Linked DNA regions of Caenorhabditis elegans. The protein of the gene in region 1 purifies or fractionates together with the protein of each later gene. This does not show direct contact. Each region holds a gene or a part of one and is shown on either strand. Other genes may lie near its edges.

Evidence for each region.
Region 2: the proteins of unc-87 (region 1) and ttr-5 fractionate together in Caenorhabditis elegans (co-fractionation; one large-scale study listed by BioGRID). This does not show direct contact.

The regions. Positions count from the first base shown.
Region 1 is NC_003279.8:6,759,121-6,769,023, reverse strand, and holds unc-87 (Protein unc-87), read left to right. Parts: upstream 1-3,333; 5' UTR 3,334-3,413; coding exon 3,414-4,017; intron 4,018-4,224; coding exon 4,225-4,433; intron 4,434-4,680; coding exon 4,681-4,839; intron 4,840-5,089; coding exon 5,090-5,572; intron 5,573-5,626; coding exon 5,627-5,761; intron 5,762-7,149; coding exon 7,150-7,257; 3' UTR 7,258-7,671; coding exon of another isoform or gene 7,672-7,770; 3' UTR 7,771-7,803; downstream 7,804-9,903. Other genes in the region: F08B6.1 (BPH_3 domain-containing protein), read right to left, coding at 7,672-7,770, 8,233-8,359, 8,486-8,592; calu-2 (EF-hand domain-containing protein), read left to right, coding at 8,857-8,922, 8,973-9,102, 9,168-9,271, 9,602-9,701, 9,870-9,903. UniProt on the Caenorhabditis elegans protein: Thin filament-associated protein that is implicated in actin bundling and actin filament dynamics. Exhibits F-actin cross-linking activity. Required for the maintenance of sarcomeric actin organization in striated muscles.
Region 2 is NC_003281.10:9,325,653-9,331,438, reverse strand, and holds ttr-5 (Transthyretin-like protein 5), read right to left. Parts: upstream 1,124-5,786; 5' UTR 1,123-1,123; coding exon 978-1,122; intron 933-977; coding exon 796-932; intron 751-795; coding exon 694-750; intron 646-693; coding exon 565-645; 3' UTR 511-564; downstream 1-510. Other genes in the region: cepr-104.1 (CEntrosomal Protein Related), read left to right, coding at 2,073-2,233, 2,351-2,924, 2,976-3,109, 3,164-3,284, 3,326-3,627, 3,910-4,132; C40H1.7 (Fungal lipase-type domain-containing protein), read right to left, coding at 4,447-4,642, 4,698-4,873, 4,922-5,074, 5,327-5,459, 5,504-5,621, 5,669-5,733.

The DNA.
Region 1 (9,903 bases):
TGTTTTTCCAATTTCATTTCTTCTTAGAACTTGAGATCATCACTCGAATTTCTTTACCTTTTTGTTAGTCATCTAAAAATTCAGTTGATTTTTGAATTTTCTACAGTTTTTTCAAAACGAATTTTGTTTGGAAATTACAGTTTTCTGGAAAATACATTTAAAAATACATCATGAAAATATTCAATTTTTGTAGAATGAAAAATTTGAAAATTATACACTAAGTTCAATTATTTTTTATTCAGAAAATTAAATTTATAAAATTATACTCCTGTGAAACAAATCAAGGTTTTTTAGCCTTTAAATTTTGTATCTAACCCTGCATAGAAAATTACTACGATTGCGGTGGTAGAATCGTATTTATTAGAATTAAAATTTTTAGGAAAAATGATTGCATTTCTAAAAGAATACTGTACTTTTTCGAACTAATAATACTTTCCCATTCGACTAGAAAACAAATTCTCATATTACAACAACTACTGTTTCGTCTGTTGCTCTGTCAAGCGAAGGCTCCCGCTTATCTCTAATCCACAATAATCCTTACACTATTTCTCTAATTGTCATCCTCTCATCACTTGTTGTCACCTGTTTTCTTATTTATCACTGATTACTAATAACTCTTTGAATTTTGAAGCAATATTACACTGACAAGATTCTAAACTTTACAAGTTTGAAATATTACAGTTTTTTTTTCAAATTACAGCCGGAAAACATTTGAATGACACGGGCCATTTCGACCGAATTTCGTTCCTAAAAACTGAAATTTAATTTTACGGTCTAGTGAAAAATTGGGAAATTCTGACTGGAAATCTTGTGGTTCAAGTAGTTGAGGCCAAAACTTATTAGTCTGATTTCTTTTAAAATAATAAAATGTATCAGCTAATTTGAGAAATGAAGCTTAACCTTTTCTCCTTAATCAAACTACTCTGCACCATATGAAAAACTTCCGAAAAGATCGCTACAAAAGAGAATCCATGATTTTTGTCTGTTATTTTTCTTTGTGTATATGTACAAGAAAAAAAACGATGATTCGTAGAGAAGAAACAACTTTTTTCAACTCTCGCCCTCCTGACTATATACATCAGAAAAAAAACTATTGAAAAGGTTTTCCCTCGTTGTTTTATATTGCATTGTCTACGTTTATTACATGAACATTTCTATTCGTTTTTTTTCTGTCAACTCTCTTTTTTTTTTTTAATGATTAATTTAATATCGTTAATTGATTTCAGAGGAAGGATGCCGCCAACTGAGGATCAAGTTGTTGCTGGTGAGTCATTTTTACTTCGATATCCGAAGAAGAAATATAAAGATTTATAAATAGTTTCAAATCTCTGAAAATGCTGAAAATTGTGATTTTTGAAATTTCATAAATTTTAATATTTCAAATTACACTGAAACAGCAACGTTTAAAGTCTAGCAGTGATCGTGCGAGCGTAATAGAAAAAATAGGGTATTTAACTTTTTAAAAAAGGTGTTTCCAAACTGTGCAAACTTTCAATAAGCTTCTGACCAACGATGAACCATATCTCCGAAAAATGGGCTTCAACTCCTTCTCCTCGCTTTCCGAACCTTTGTTGTTTGCCTTCGCGTCAGGAGCGGGGGCGGGAAAATAGGTCAAAACTGTCAAAAATTTGTATATTTTGTGTGTTATGTGAGTGCGTGTCTATGAGCTAATCATCAAATTTGATAGATTTTACGATTTTTTCTTCAGTTTTCAGATGTTTTGCCGTTACTCTGATCAGAGATCAAACTACATAGTGACGTAACGACACGCGCTTTATATATAGTAAATTGATTTTTATTAAAAATTTGAATAACTTGCAAGTTTATGTATAATGGTGAAACGTTTTTTTTCTGTAGATATATATTAACAATTTTTAGACTGTAGATCTCTACAATGAAATGATAATTTTTAAACTGGTTCAATCCAGTGAGCATTTACCAATCTACAAAAGCCTCGAAGCATTATGCATTCTAAAATTTACCTTTTAAAGAATTTTTATTTCGATACGAAATTTGAAAATAAATATAATCTATAGTAATTCTTCTCTCTAATTCCCTTGTTCGATGCTCCCACTAATCTTTTCGGGTATGGTGCTGCGACCTCTGTAGTAACCGAAAACTTAAACCGAACAGCCAACACAGAGACTCCTTTTCTAATGATCTTCCATCACTTTTTTAAGAGAAACTATCTCCTCCTAAAGAAATAGTATATGTTCTCGAGAGATTATAGAGAACAAATAGCAGGAAGAACAATTGGAAGTAAAAGAGAGAAGCAGAGACTTCTCAAATAATACAATATTGTTCTTTTCTAACAGTTAGTTTCTTCAACTTTTTTTCTTTTTTTCTAACTTATTTAAAACTTATTCTCCGATAAAGAGAAATAGAGTAGAGAGGGACGAGAGAAAGAAGAAGCTTCTCGCGCAATCAACCACTTCAGATCTCACTTTTTTGGGTTAAGGCTCACAAGTTTTTGTGTGTAGATAATGGTTTGCGCTCATTAGGTGAAAAGAGATTCAAGAGTACGGTTGATTGGTTCAATTGGAAGACTCATATAAAATGAAATAGAAAGTGTTCTAGACTGATCAAAGATTTTGCTTTACTTGCTTAGATGATTTATAGTAAACTTAGTATATAGAAAACCCTAAAGGTTGATAATGTTTTTGTTCAAAGTTAATATTTTAATATGAGTTTAGTTTTTTACCGGCCTGCTATTTTTAGACTTTAAGATTTCAAGTCAAAAATGGTTGAGAATCAGAGCTATCAATAAAAATTTAACTATCTCTAATGTATGCCGGAAAGTCTGAGCCTAATCCTAAGCCTCATTCCTCATCTAACTAGTTATACAAATCCCAGCTAGTATATAATTACCGCTCTAAGACTGTTATCTGTTAGAAAGGCACTGATATAGTTTGAATATTGTAAGCATTTAGGAATTTGCCTTGCTAGGCAACCACTAATGAAATTGGAAAATAAAAATTTGCCCTGCAAGGCCTTCCATCTCTATTGTTCTAGTACTATGAGCAACCTCCTAGACACCTAAACAATCAAAAAGGATCTCCAAAATCCACTTTTTCTCTACGTCTCATAATATTTCCCACAAAATTTACAAACATTTTGAGTGCTGTTCTGCCTAGTTTTTGTTCGAACAAAAAGTTCGCCTTGTTCCTCCAAGTAAAAGTTCAAACATATGTGTTCGTTGGAAGAGTAATCACGTTTTTCTTTACTCATCTCTCGCTCCTGGTACTTTATTAACTAGAACCAGTTTTCGTGCCGAGACCCTCCTCCGCTCATCATTTTTCTATTTTCTCTCTCTTTTCTGTGCATTCCGTACTGTCCTCTGTGAACTTTCTTGTCCACTGTGCTCATTTTTTGGTTTCATTTTTGTGAAATATTTTAAACAATTGGTTTAAAGAATGTTATCATTCAACAACACAACATCTGCATCTAGTTTTCAATCTGCTTCATCAAGATATTTAATGTCATCATCATCATCAATTGGACCACCACAACAACAATCTGCAAAACTATTTCCTGAGCATTTCTATCCAAGTGGACTAAGTCCAAGACAGTCGGAAGCTCTCGAACGATTGCGACCCAATACGGCGTCGCGCGAACGAAATATTCCGATTCAATTTACCGGAAAGAATCCAACAACAAATTCAGCTCTTGAGGAGTATAAACCAGTACCACACGTACAAGTTACATCTCCAAAGTCTTCAATTGTTCCGAATTTTGTTTCCGAGCAACGCGGGCTTCAGCCTCAACCAACATCTCAAGCTCCAACCAATTATCGGCAATTCGTGGCTGCACCACGATCGCCACGTGGATATGGAGACTATCCAGAAATGACGGGAAAAGCTTCTGCTGCTGGGGATTCAGAGCCTGTTCAAATCCCAATAAAAACTCAAACTCCAATTACACAAGCTCGTGCTCAAGAAACTAAAATTCCAACAATTGTGTCACCACACCCTGTTTATTATTATGACAATCAGGAGCAACCAATTCAACAAATTCGAGGTTTTTTTGTTTTTCTTTGCGTCTTAACTAATATCTCAAATTTTATTTGAGATAACTGTGTGCTGTCTTAGTCTTTGTCCCATGTCCAGACACTTATTACTGATAACCAGTTTTTTCGGAAATCAAAAAAAAGCAACAGTTATCAAAAATCAGAGAAATCACTTCAAACTTAACCGCTCCTATATTCAAATTTTCGTTTATTTTCAGAGGAGCAACCAAATGCCACCATGGAGACCAAAGTCACCGGACAAGGTCAGCCAAAGCGTGTCGGACGCTGGACATTGGCTCAACTCCGTCAAACTGACGGAATTATTCCAAGCCAGGCCGGATGGAACAAGGGAGACTCACAAAAGTTGATGACCAACTTCGGAACACCAAGAAACACTAACACTCGTGTCAAGTCTGAGAACCTTCAGGTATGGAAATTTTATGGTCAGATTTACTTGGGTATGTGGAAGAATTTATTTTAATAGAAGCAAAATCTAGGTCACCGTTTATGTTATTTGTCTTTAAGGATACAAAACTTCAAAGGTTCTTACTCACTTTATCTCTTCTGAAATGAAAAAAATCTTTAAATGTCATTTCTTGGTACCTCCACAATTTGTTTCATTCAACGTCAAGTATTTAAAGGAATTCCAAAATTTTCAAATATAAATTTTCCAGGAAATCCCAGAAGATATTGCCAACCGAACCCATGGAGAAGTTCGTCTTCAATCCGGAACCAACAAATATTGCTCCCAGAGAGGAATGACCGGATTCGGATCCGGACGTGATGTGTGCCGTGAGGGAGTCCGTGTCGCTCAGAACCCAGCTGACTTGGCTGTAAGTTACTTTTACATAGTAGCTCTGTAACCTTTCATCACTTCAGTAAAAAAAAGTGACAGAAACAAAATAAATTATTTCTCTAATTTCCCACATTTCTGTTCCAATGTGTGTGGAACGTCTTATAGATTACGGTATTTTTTTCTGTGAACTTAGAGTAACGGATGAACAAATACTTGATTTAAAGATCAGGGATATTCTTTTGTGAACGCAAATAAACAATAATTAACATATATATATTTTTTTACAGGAGCTTCCAGAAGAAAAGATCCGTATGTCCGAGGGAATTGTCCGTCTTCAAGCCGGTACCAACAAATATGATTCTCAAAAGGGAATGACCGGATTCGGAACTGGACGTCGTGAGACAACTAAGATGGTTGACTCAAAGCATCCAGAATACGATCACGAGAAACCAGATCAATCTGAAATTCCACTTCAGTCTGGAACAAACAAATTCGCTTCACAAAAGGGAATGACCGGTTTCGGAACTGCTCGTCGTGAGACCACAAAGATGGTTGATTCTAACCATCCAGATTACTCTCATGAATGTTCCATTGATCAAACCACAATTCCATCTCAGATGGGATCTAATCAATATGCTTCACAGAAGGGTATGACTGGATTCGGACAGCCACGTTGGGAAGTTCTCGACCCATCAATCTCATGGCAAAACCGTAAATCCCAGGGAATGGTCCGTCTTCAATCTGGTACCAACCGTTTTGCTTCTCAAGCTGTAAGTTTTCTTTAGATTATTTATAGAATTTAAATAAATAAAATTCATTTTCAGGGTATGATTGGCTTCGGAACATGCAGAAACACAACATTCGAGGCTGAAGGAGGAGAGCTTCCATATGAGGCAATGAAGGTGTCTGAGACCATCATTCCAAGTCAAGCTGGATGGAACAAGGGAGACTCACAGAAGGTTTGTCGATTGTTAATAACATATAACGGAACCCTTGATTATGACATTCTAGTGTATCCTGAATTTGTCCTGTATTCAGAAACTATTTGTAGATTCTCGCGAATTTCTATCACCAACGTGTTTAATTCTATAATTCCCTAAGTCCGAGGTCTTGACACGATCGGATATTTTAAAATTAAGCCTGTGCCTTTGAGAGTAGAACTTGTGTAACTTTTCCGCTAGGAATATTTTTAATAGTAGGGGTGTCAATAAGTTCCGGGTCAAAATTCATAACTTTTTTCGTGGCGAATCGATTTTTCTGAAAATGTGGGAATTTATGTGATCAAACATGGTCTTTCATTTGACGGTACTTTCAAAAAGTTTTGACCACTCCATGTATCCCAGCTCGGAGACACTTTTTTCAGGCGTATGCCTGATCTCGCTTCTTTGTAACTTTCAATTGAGACTTATGTGCGGATTTTGATTAATTAAGTATACAATGTAAAAATACAATAAAAATTTAAGAAACAATTGGTTCAAAAAAAATTTTTTTTTGGTTCGTCAAAAAATCCTCGAAAAAATTTTTGTCGAAAGTTCTTGATTTTTTGTACAGGAATGATGCAACCAAGTCTGAACAATTTTTAACACACAAAACTTTTGAAACGTGATTTTTATGATTTTTTAGTCCATTTTTTGAAATTTTTGAGAATTTCTCTAAATCTAAATGTTAAATTCAAAAGTTTTGTGTGTTAAATTGTTCAGACTTGGTTGCATCATTCCTGTACAAAAAATCAAGAACTTTCGACAAAAATTTTTTCGAGGATTTTTTGACAAACCAAAAAAAATTTTTTTTTGAACCAATTTTTTCTTAAATTTTTATTGTATTTTTACATTGTATACTTAATTAATCAAAATCCGCACATAAGTCTCAATTGAAAGTTACAAAGAAGCGAGATCAGGCATACGCCTGAAAAAAGTGTCTCCGAGCTGGGATACATGGAGTGGTCAAAACTTTTTGAAAGTACCGTCAAATGAAAGACCATGTTTGATCACATAAATTCCCACATTTTCAGAAAAATCGATTCGCCACGAAAAAAGTTATGAATTTTGACCCGGAACTTATTGACACCCCTAATAGAAACCTAAAATGGTAGAAAAACCGTTACTGTATTATTCAAAGGCGCATACCTTTTTGCAAACATTTTTGCGCGGCCTCGATTTTCAAAATATTTCGATCGTGGCGAGAGCAGGTACCGTATTATCAAATTATGTGCAAGTTGATTTTAAAAAAACATATAAATACATTCTAAAAAGAAGAAAAATGACCAAACTTTTAAGTTTAAAACTACGATTTCCTTTAAAAAAAAACAAATTATTGAAACAAATTCTAATTTTTCATAATTTTTCAGAAGATGACATCATTCGGAGCACCACGTGACGTTAAGGGCAAGCACTTGAAGAGAATCTGGGAGCTTGAATACCCAGAAGAGGCTGAAATCTCTTTGGATCGTCTCTAAATCATTTTTCTCCGTGTTTTTTTTTCTTTCGTAAATTACATGATACCTGTGCATAATTTGCTTCAACTTCTTCTCCAAATGTTTCTTCTTATTCTTCAAAAAAAACTACTTTTTTGTTTGTTCTCCATCCCATTTCCCTGCTTTCCTTCCTATTCTTTTCACACCCAAACAAGTTCATCATATAAATTTGAAATTTTTCGATTGTTTTCTTTTTTGCGTAAGTTGCAGCCAAAAATGAGCAATTTTAGCGAAGAATTATTCTTGTTATTTTAAACCACTTGCATTTAGTTTTCTAAATGAAATTCACAGAGATGCGACAAGCCATAGATTTACTTAAAAATATATGTTTATTCTATGAAAACCCGTACGGAACTTTCAGGCAATATACTAAAAATTTAACAAAAAATTAAAAAATTAGTTCGTGTTCAGGGCGTTCAGTTTTTCCATCATATTGTCATTGAGAGCCTTCCAGAATAGACCTTCTTCGCATTCGATGTCTGTTGTGAAGAATACCTGCAAATATTTTAATGAATACATTATTTGATTTCTCGATTTTTAAGCCAAAGGTTATTTTTTACAAAAAAAGGTTTTTAAAAATGTGTGGAGTTTTGTTCTTTTCATATAATTTATTTTTCATTACCGCGGAAGTAGTCACACCCATTTAAGCAAAAGTGGCCTTATTTTAATTTTCGAAAAAAATTATTTTCAGCGAAAATTTTGTTACGAAAATTATTTTCTGCCTAAAAATTATAATTGCGACATGATCATCAATTATAACTTTTTGTTCATAATTTCCAAGCTAATATTACACAATATTTGAGAAAATACTTGAAATACGGAATTTTTTAGAATAAATTCAATCTCTCAAAAACAAAATGTTGTTTTTTTTTGGTTTTTCTGGTTGCATCGGTTTCAGATAAAAATGAGAATTTCCTCGAGTTTTTTATTTCGAAATGAACGTTTTTTCAAAAATACCTGTGTGAATCTCGATGTTTTTGTTAACCGAAGAGTAGTTGATTTAATGAATTCTCGTTGCGTATTCTCTCCATCGACGAGCATTGTGAAGTTTGGAAAATGTGCAAGCCCGATTGAATCGATTTTACTGAAAACTAACATTTTTAAACAAACTGTTCATTTTTGACTATGGTTTTTTATCAAATAGCTTGATTTCATAATTGAAACGAATAGCTTTATTTTTTAAAAGATGAATAAAAAAAATTTAAAATACCTTTCTCCAACCCAAATCCATGCACTTTCTGTTGAATAAAGAACATATCCGTTGAGATCTCGATTGCATATCTTTTCGGAAAACTCTATTCTTTGAATTGGTGACATTTTCGGGTAGAAATTTCTGAAGAACAAGAAGATTTTAAAATTGAATCCAACTGGAAAACGCGCCGAAGGAAAAAAATCGATGTTCGAGAGGAGTACACGAGATAGCTCGGCCATGTGGAAACTAGTCCACGAGGTGCCTTTTTAGCAAATATTGGAAAAATGGATTTTTCTTAATTATGAAGAATTTTAAGTCTGTTTTAATAGATTTCATCGAAAAAACATTCAATTATTATCCCAAAACAAAAATTCCAGATTTTCTTACAAATGCGGTTTAAGCAATGCATAATATTCTCCATCATTGTATCGATTTTCGCAGAAAAAGAGCGGATGGTTCGATTTTTCAATTCAAAATCTTAAAATTTATAAAAACTGTTTTACAGATGGATGGTTCTGTTTCCCCGTCAGATCATAAAAAGCCAGCTTCTGAGCAGAAATTAAACTTAAAATCTGGCCAAGAAAGCGTAGAAAAATTTGCGAAAGCTTTGGATACAAATAATGATGGTTTTGTAGGTAATATTTAGACTTTCTATAATATAAGAATAGAAAATCCAATATATGTACCAATGATGTTTCAGATAAAAGTGAAATTCTTGCATGGGTATCCGAATCATATCAGAAAACTGTTGATAGAGAAGCAGTAGAGAGAATTAGTGAGCTTGATGAGAACGCTGATGGATTTGTGAGTTTTTCTAATTATAAGAAATATTTAAAATTTTGCACTTTACTTTTTTTTTTAGCTTTTAACATGACTCTAATCTTTTAAAATCTACTTCCAAATTTTATCTACTTCCAAAATGTGTTCTGAGAGTTGAATTGTTTCGAATTTATTAATGCAAAAGTTTATTGAATGTAATTTTTTCTTAATTCATAACTTGAGTATTTGTATATATATATATATTTTTTTTTTTTTAGTTATATTTCAAAAATACGCTTTTTTCTCTCGTAGATAGGAAACATGTGAGGTATCAAACCACCCGGTGTGAGAAAAATGTAAATTTGTATATTGTAGGTATCGTGGGAAGAATACTTGGCCGATTCATTTCCTGACGAAGAGTTACATAACAAGGAAGAAGAATCACTTATTGCACAGGATAAAATGTATTTCAAACGTATGTTTCGGAGTTTAAATAGTTTGAGAATTAACGTAGCTATAAAAAACTTAAAATGAAACGCCGACACTACGTTTTTAATCTTTCATGTGCTATTGAAAACTTTGGATTTTGGCTTTTTTTCTGAAATAAATGAGAAAATGCAACATCAAAATTAGAAAATTTCAGAAGCTGACGAAGACAATGATGGAAAATTAAATCT
Region 2 (5,786 bases), on another chromosome or scaffold:
TTTTGAAGAGAATATTATATTTCAAAGTATTTAGATGCGTTTTTCCATTCTCTCACAATTCTATGCTTTAAATAACGTCAATATTTATAACTTTAAAAAAGAAAAAAGAAGACACAATAAAAAAGAATGCGTGTTGGCCAGTTTGTGCATTCCGACGTGGTGGTGTTTGCGGACATTACACCAAGTGACGGTACGAAAATTGTTGGCCGTAGTAGATTACTGTCGATATTAAAAAAATTCAATTCAATATCCAGCACAAATTGGTGGTATTTATAAAATTTACAACGATAATCTTCTAGGAATGATTTTAAATATTTCAATGAGTTTTTTAAAATTCGAAATCACGGATAAAATGTGTTTTCGAGGATTGCAGTATCCCCTGTGATTCTTGCACTATAGGGAAAATATCTATATTTATTGCATTCCTGAATATTCCAGTTATACTTTATTTTTATAGAAAATAGGATCGAAATGTTTTCTCTGAAAAATTTGAAGTTGCAATCCAAAATTGTTATTTTAAAAAGATTTATTTCAAGAAAAAAGAGTATATATAAGTTGGTAAGTTTAGTGAAGACAGTCACGTCCTTCTCCTGGGAAAGATCCAGCAAGTTGAATGACTCCGGCATCGTAAATATTACGGACAGTCTGAAAATATTAATTTCAGTTTACTTCCAGTTTTTTTAATCTTCTTACCTTTCCCTTGTTGATGTAGCTATCTGGGATCTTGATAGTGAACTTGCGTTGGCAGGGCTGAAAATTCAATTATCTTAAAATGTAATAAAGTCATCCAGAAACCTTAATTCCATCATTGCAGTCATGGTAAATGTTAAGTTTTGGGTCGATTGGAGTCACTTCATCTTCGTGTCCAGAAATTTCAAAATCTCCGTTGCCATTGGTCTTTCCAGAAGCCATCAAATCATCGGCATCGATTCCTAGAAATAGACTTTTAGGAAATATTCAAAAAAGTTTTTGATTACCTCTATCATCATCATACAACTTGACCAAAACTCCAACAGCTGGTTTTCCATTGCAGATCAGTTTTCCACGTACTCCAGCCGATTGGGTATTTCCAATTAAAGCATAGCTTGAGGCAACAAGGCACAAAAGGATTATAAGCTTCATTCTGAAATTCTTTTGTTGAGAACAAAATGATAAAGTAAAAAAGGCCGGGATGGAAGAATGGAACCAACAAAGAACCAATAGCTATGCTCTCAGAAAACAACATGTTTACGAAATCTCAGGAAAAGATAAGAAAAAGAAGATAATTCGGAAAAAAAGAGAGATTTGTTGTTATATATCTTTTTGATAAAAAAAAAGCTTGACAGAAAAGTGTGGTTGTAGTCCACAAATTGTATTAGTTTCCATGGAAAATAAGTAGATTTAATCAATTTATATACACCTGTACGAGAAAATATACTAAGAGATGATCTGATTATTTGTTACCTCAAAGTATATCATTTTCAAAACAAATGGTGTATCAGACAATTGTAAACAAGTCAAACACCAACTAATTCATTAAAAAACATAAAAAACAAAAGTGACCTTTCAATTAGAATCAAACAAGTAGTCATACCTGGGAAACTCTAGCCAGGAAAACGTATCCGAAACTGTATGAAAAAAAATACAAAGAGAACAAACTCAATAAGATATGCCAAAGGTTGATGTCAACATTATGACCAAAACCTAAAAACAAACATCCGGCAAAGAGAAAGGTCAGAATAGGCATGTACGAAGGTAAATGGTTAACATGCAGGCTCTTAGGTAGACAGACCCACGATCATCATATTTCCCAACTAACATTCTTATTTACATGCCTGTTGCATGCCTTCCTTACGCCTGAAAGTGTTTAATTGAAGAATGTATTACTCAAAACACCTGCTTTCCTTTAACCTTCGATATAATTTTTGTTTAGTATATTTGTTTCTTTTCAACATTTCATTATTCTCCTTTCCATAGTAACACACCCAACAAAAAAAATGTAAAGAAAAGGGAATTATAGATTAGCTCCAAGCATCGTCCTTCTTTCCAAACTTTCTTCAAAATATTTTTTTACAACTATTATTCTTCCCCCAATGTCGTCATCTAGGAACTTTGATCTGGAGTACGACGATTACAAAGAACGACGGAATGCTGCTGGAATGGGAAGTCGTGCGAGCTCGAGGAATGGTGGAAGATTCAAGCCAATAGACAAAGAAAAAGAAAAAGAGAAGAAAGAGATTGGAGATTATGGATTGTAAGTACTTTTTTGATTTCTGGATTCATTGTCAGAAGTCAGTTGTATTAATAGCTTTCAAAATCCTAGACATCGTGCAGTTTTTCATGATCCGTTACCTCACTAGATACCTTGCAGACCCAAAAATGAGTATAAAATGCAAGGCTACGACGAACGGAGCTCAGATGTTGGAGCCGATCCATTGGCATCAGTCCGAACTCTCCGTAACAATCTCCGAGTCATGTCCCTTGAGCATCGTGACAAGGACGAACCTGTCAAATCACATTTGTGCCAATCAGCTTGTGATGATCTATCAAAAGCCGAGAAACAACTTGTCGATTTGAGTCACAAGAGAAGCGACGCAGTTGTCAGAGGAGACTCACGGCAGGCTGAACAGATAGCAAAGGATATGGATAGAGTGAAGTCTGATGCAATCAGAAATGCATATTCAGATTTAATGATGGAAGATGGAACTATGAAAGCATTTGGAGTCAATTCAAAATGGACACCTGATAAGAATCCAATGCCATCAGATGATTGGAAGCCAATGACACCTATGAAACCTAGGAAAAGAGCTGAAACACCAAAAGGAAGAAAAACTGAAAGTAGGCAAAGTAACAGAGGAAATAATGATAATGGAGATCAAAGAATGACGTCAAAGGCAACCACAAGATCCCCAGAACGGAGAGTTATTCCAACGGAACCATCAAAAGTAGACTGACATTAAAATAATAAATATTGGAAAAATAAAGTAACATTTCAGCCAAAAACAACTAGAAAAAATCAGCGCCTTTCAACTATCGGACACGTTCCAGAGGCAATTCCAGTAGTCGATACTCCGTTGCCAGGAGGATCCACAGTTCAGGATGATCCATATAAAATGCCAACATATGTGGGGTAAGGGAAGAGATCTAAATGTATATAAATTTCTACATATTTTCTAATTTCCAGAAGATGCCCACATTGTCAATTAACAGAGTCAGGTCTTGGTAGAGCAGGTGGAATGGAAAAACACTTTGCTAAATATTGCAAAGTTATGACAAGTTGCAAGTATTGTATGAAGTTGACAATGGTAGGCTCTTTTTCAGGTTTAAATCGTAAATTTCCATTTAGGTATCTCAACTCACTGATCACTTAATATATCGTTGTGAATTTCTCCAAGACACGATGGAAGCTTGTAATGACTGTGGATTAGCAATTGAGAAAGAAGATCAAAAACGTGGAGGAAGTCATCCAATGTGTCGTGGAAGACGTCCCCCGACAGGAGCACAATGGTGTCCTTTGTGCACAATTGCAGTGGAGGATAATGAAGAGAATTGGAGAGAACATTTATTAAATAATTGTTATAATAATCAACGGAGAGATGGTCCAGAAAAAGATCCATGGGAGATGAAACAAGAGCAAGAAGATATTTTGTATGTTTTTGTTTTATTAGTTTCTGTGGTGGTACTTTTCTGAAAATCAGGGCTTGAAATTAATTTCGAAATGAATAGTTTAGCGAGTATATGAAGTTATGTGGTCCGCTGAGCGTGATGTGCACCTATAAATAGTTTCACTTATTTCCCTATACTTTCATTTTTTGAAGCAATGAACAAAGTTTCCAAAAAATGCAAAGATTTTAAGAGTTTATTATTTTGTTATTTGAATGCAGAAAACATCCGTACTGACCCTACAACACCTTTAATCCAATTTTTCAGACTTGGAGCAAAAGAAAAGAAGAAGCGTGAAATGGAGGAAGAAGAGCGACTGAAAAAAGAAGCGGAAATAAGACGGCAACAGCAACAAGTTGTTGTGAATAATACAGGATATCCTGGAAAAATGATCGACGCCGATAAGTTGGTGGTGGCTCTTCAAGAGATTCAAGAACGCAAGAAAGCAGAGAAAAAGAAGAAATTGAAGGATATTGAGAAGGAGACTTGAATACTGTGTTTTTTCTACTGCAGTTAACTGTGGCAGTTCATTTCTTGGTTCTCTTGTCGTGTCAAAAAAAAAGAACTGATATCTGTGCTGTCAAATTAGTATAATTTGTTAAATGAAATACGGTAATTGGATCACGATTATTGATGAATTATCAATTTGCGAATTATTTATTTATCTATATCTCTGTCCCCCATTTATTGTATTTTCCAAATTTGTAGTACATTTTTCCTGAAAATGCAAACTTTTTAAAAGTTCCGATGTAATAATAAGAATATATTTTTATTGACAAATACTTGGTGTACATATTATGCTTTTTATAAAAATATTATTACAGCACCCAATATCACAATCAAAAGATCATAACTGAACGTCTTCCCATTTTTAACCGCACTCTCTGCAATTGGCCTGTAATCTTCCTTATTCTTCGGACATCCATCAGCTGACCATCTGTACAAGTCCATATTAAAATAATGTGCATGGTCGGCATTTGACAGGTTCTGCACCTGACTGCTGAAAAAATCAAACATTTTTGTTGATAGTTGCTGATAAGAAATGTTGCGAAAACCTGCAAAACGGTTGATCTGCTTGCTCGCAAATGACAAAAGAGTCGCCTTCACGCATATCATTGTTGTACCAAACTTCACTTCGTGGGTGATAAAGTGTTGTGTTATCAATATTATCAAAGAAAGGGAGACGTGGTGCATAGTCATGTGCGTGGATAATGTGGTAAGAATATGGAAACTGAAATATGAACTTTTAAACTTAGACGTTCTCTATTTATCTCGTTACGTTGGTACTATGCCACATTGCAAAATCATAATCTGTACATCTAGGACATCCAAATAAAATTACTTTCATATTGTAAGGAGAGCTCATTCCAGTTTGAGCAATGAATGCAGATGTAAGTAATGCAATTGATGCACCCATCGAGTACCCAGTTATCTGAAATTCTGGGGTTGAGGGGATTCACTTCAGGTGTTGAAAATGAAACGAAATGTTTTTAAGAATTCGTGATACTGAAACTTCACTTCCCAACATTTTAAAAGTTAAGGTTTAAATTAATAACAAGAACCGTACTTCGTGTGACGTCACACAACTCAAACCTTGACTTCCCGCAATATTCATGTTGTCGTGTTTATTGTACTGTCTTAAACTATACATCCATACTTAATAATTTTCAAACCCTTTACCCACCCATAACTGATAATCCGGATAGGCATCAATCAAATTTTGCAAATCTTCACCCAATCCACTATACCATAATGATTCAAAGTTGTCATTAAACTTCTTCGTAACTCTTCCAATATTTAGAAATGGGACTGTTCCACTGAAATTAATCTGATTTTAAGAGTAAAATATGTTAAAACCAACTTAAAATTTCCGATTTTCCACAAATCATAATATTGATGATCACCGTGTGATCCACGAACCGAGAGAACGATTACTTTTCGGTCGAAATCAATTCCAGTGTATCCAGAACAAGTTACATCTAAAACGAAGCAGTATGATTGAATTCCGAGAAAAATTTGGATTTACCTGAGAAAAGTGAGGAGCAGTTTGCCTCACGCCGTTTATAGACTTTCATAGAAGGAAGTTGGTTGCTGAAAATTCTTATTTTGAACATTGTCTTATTAGTTTTTATTTCAGTATTTTA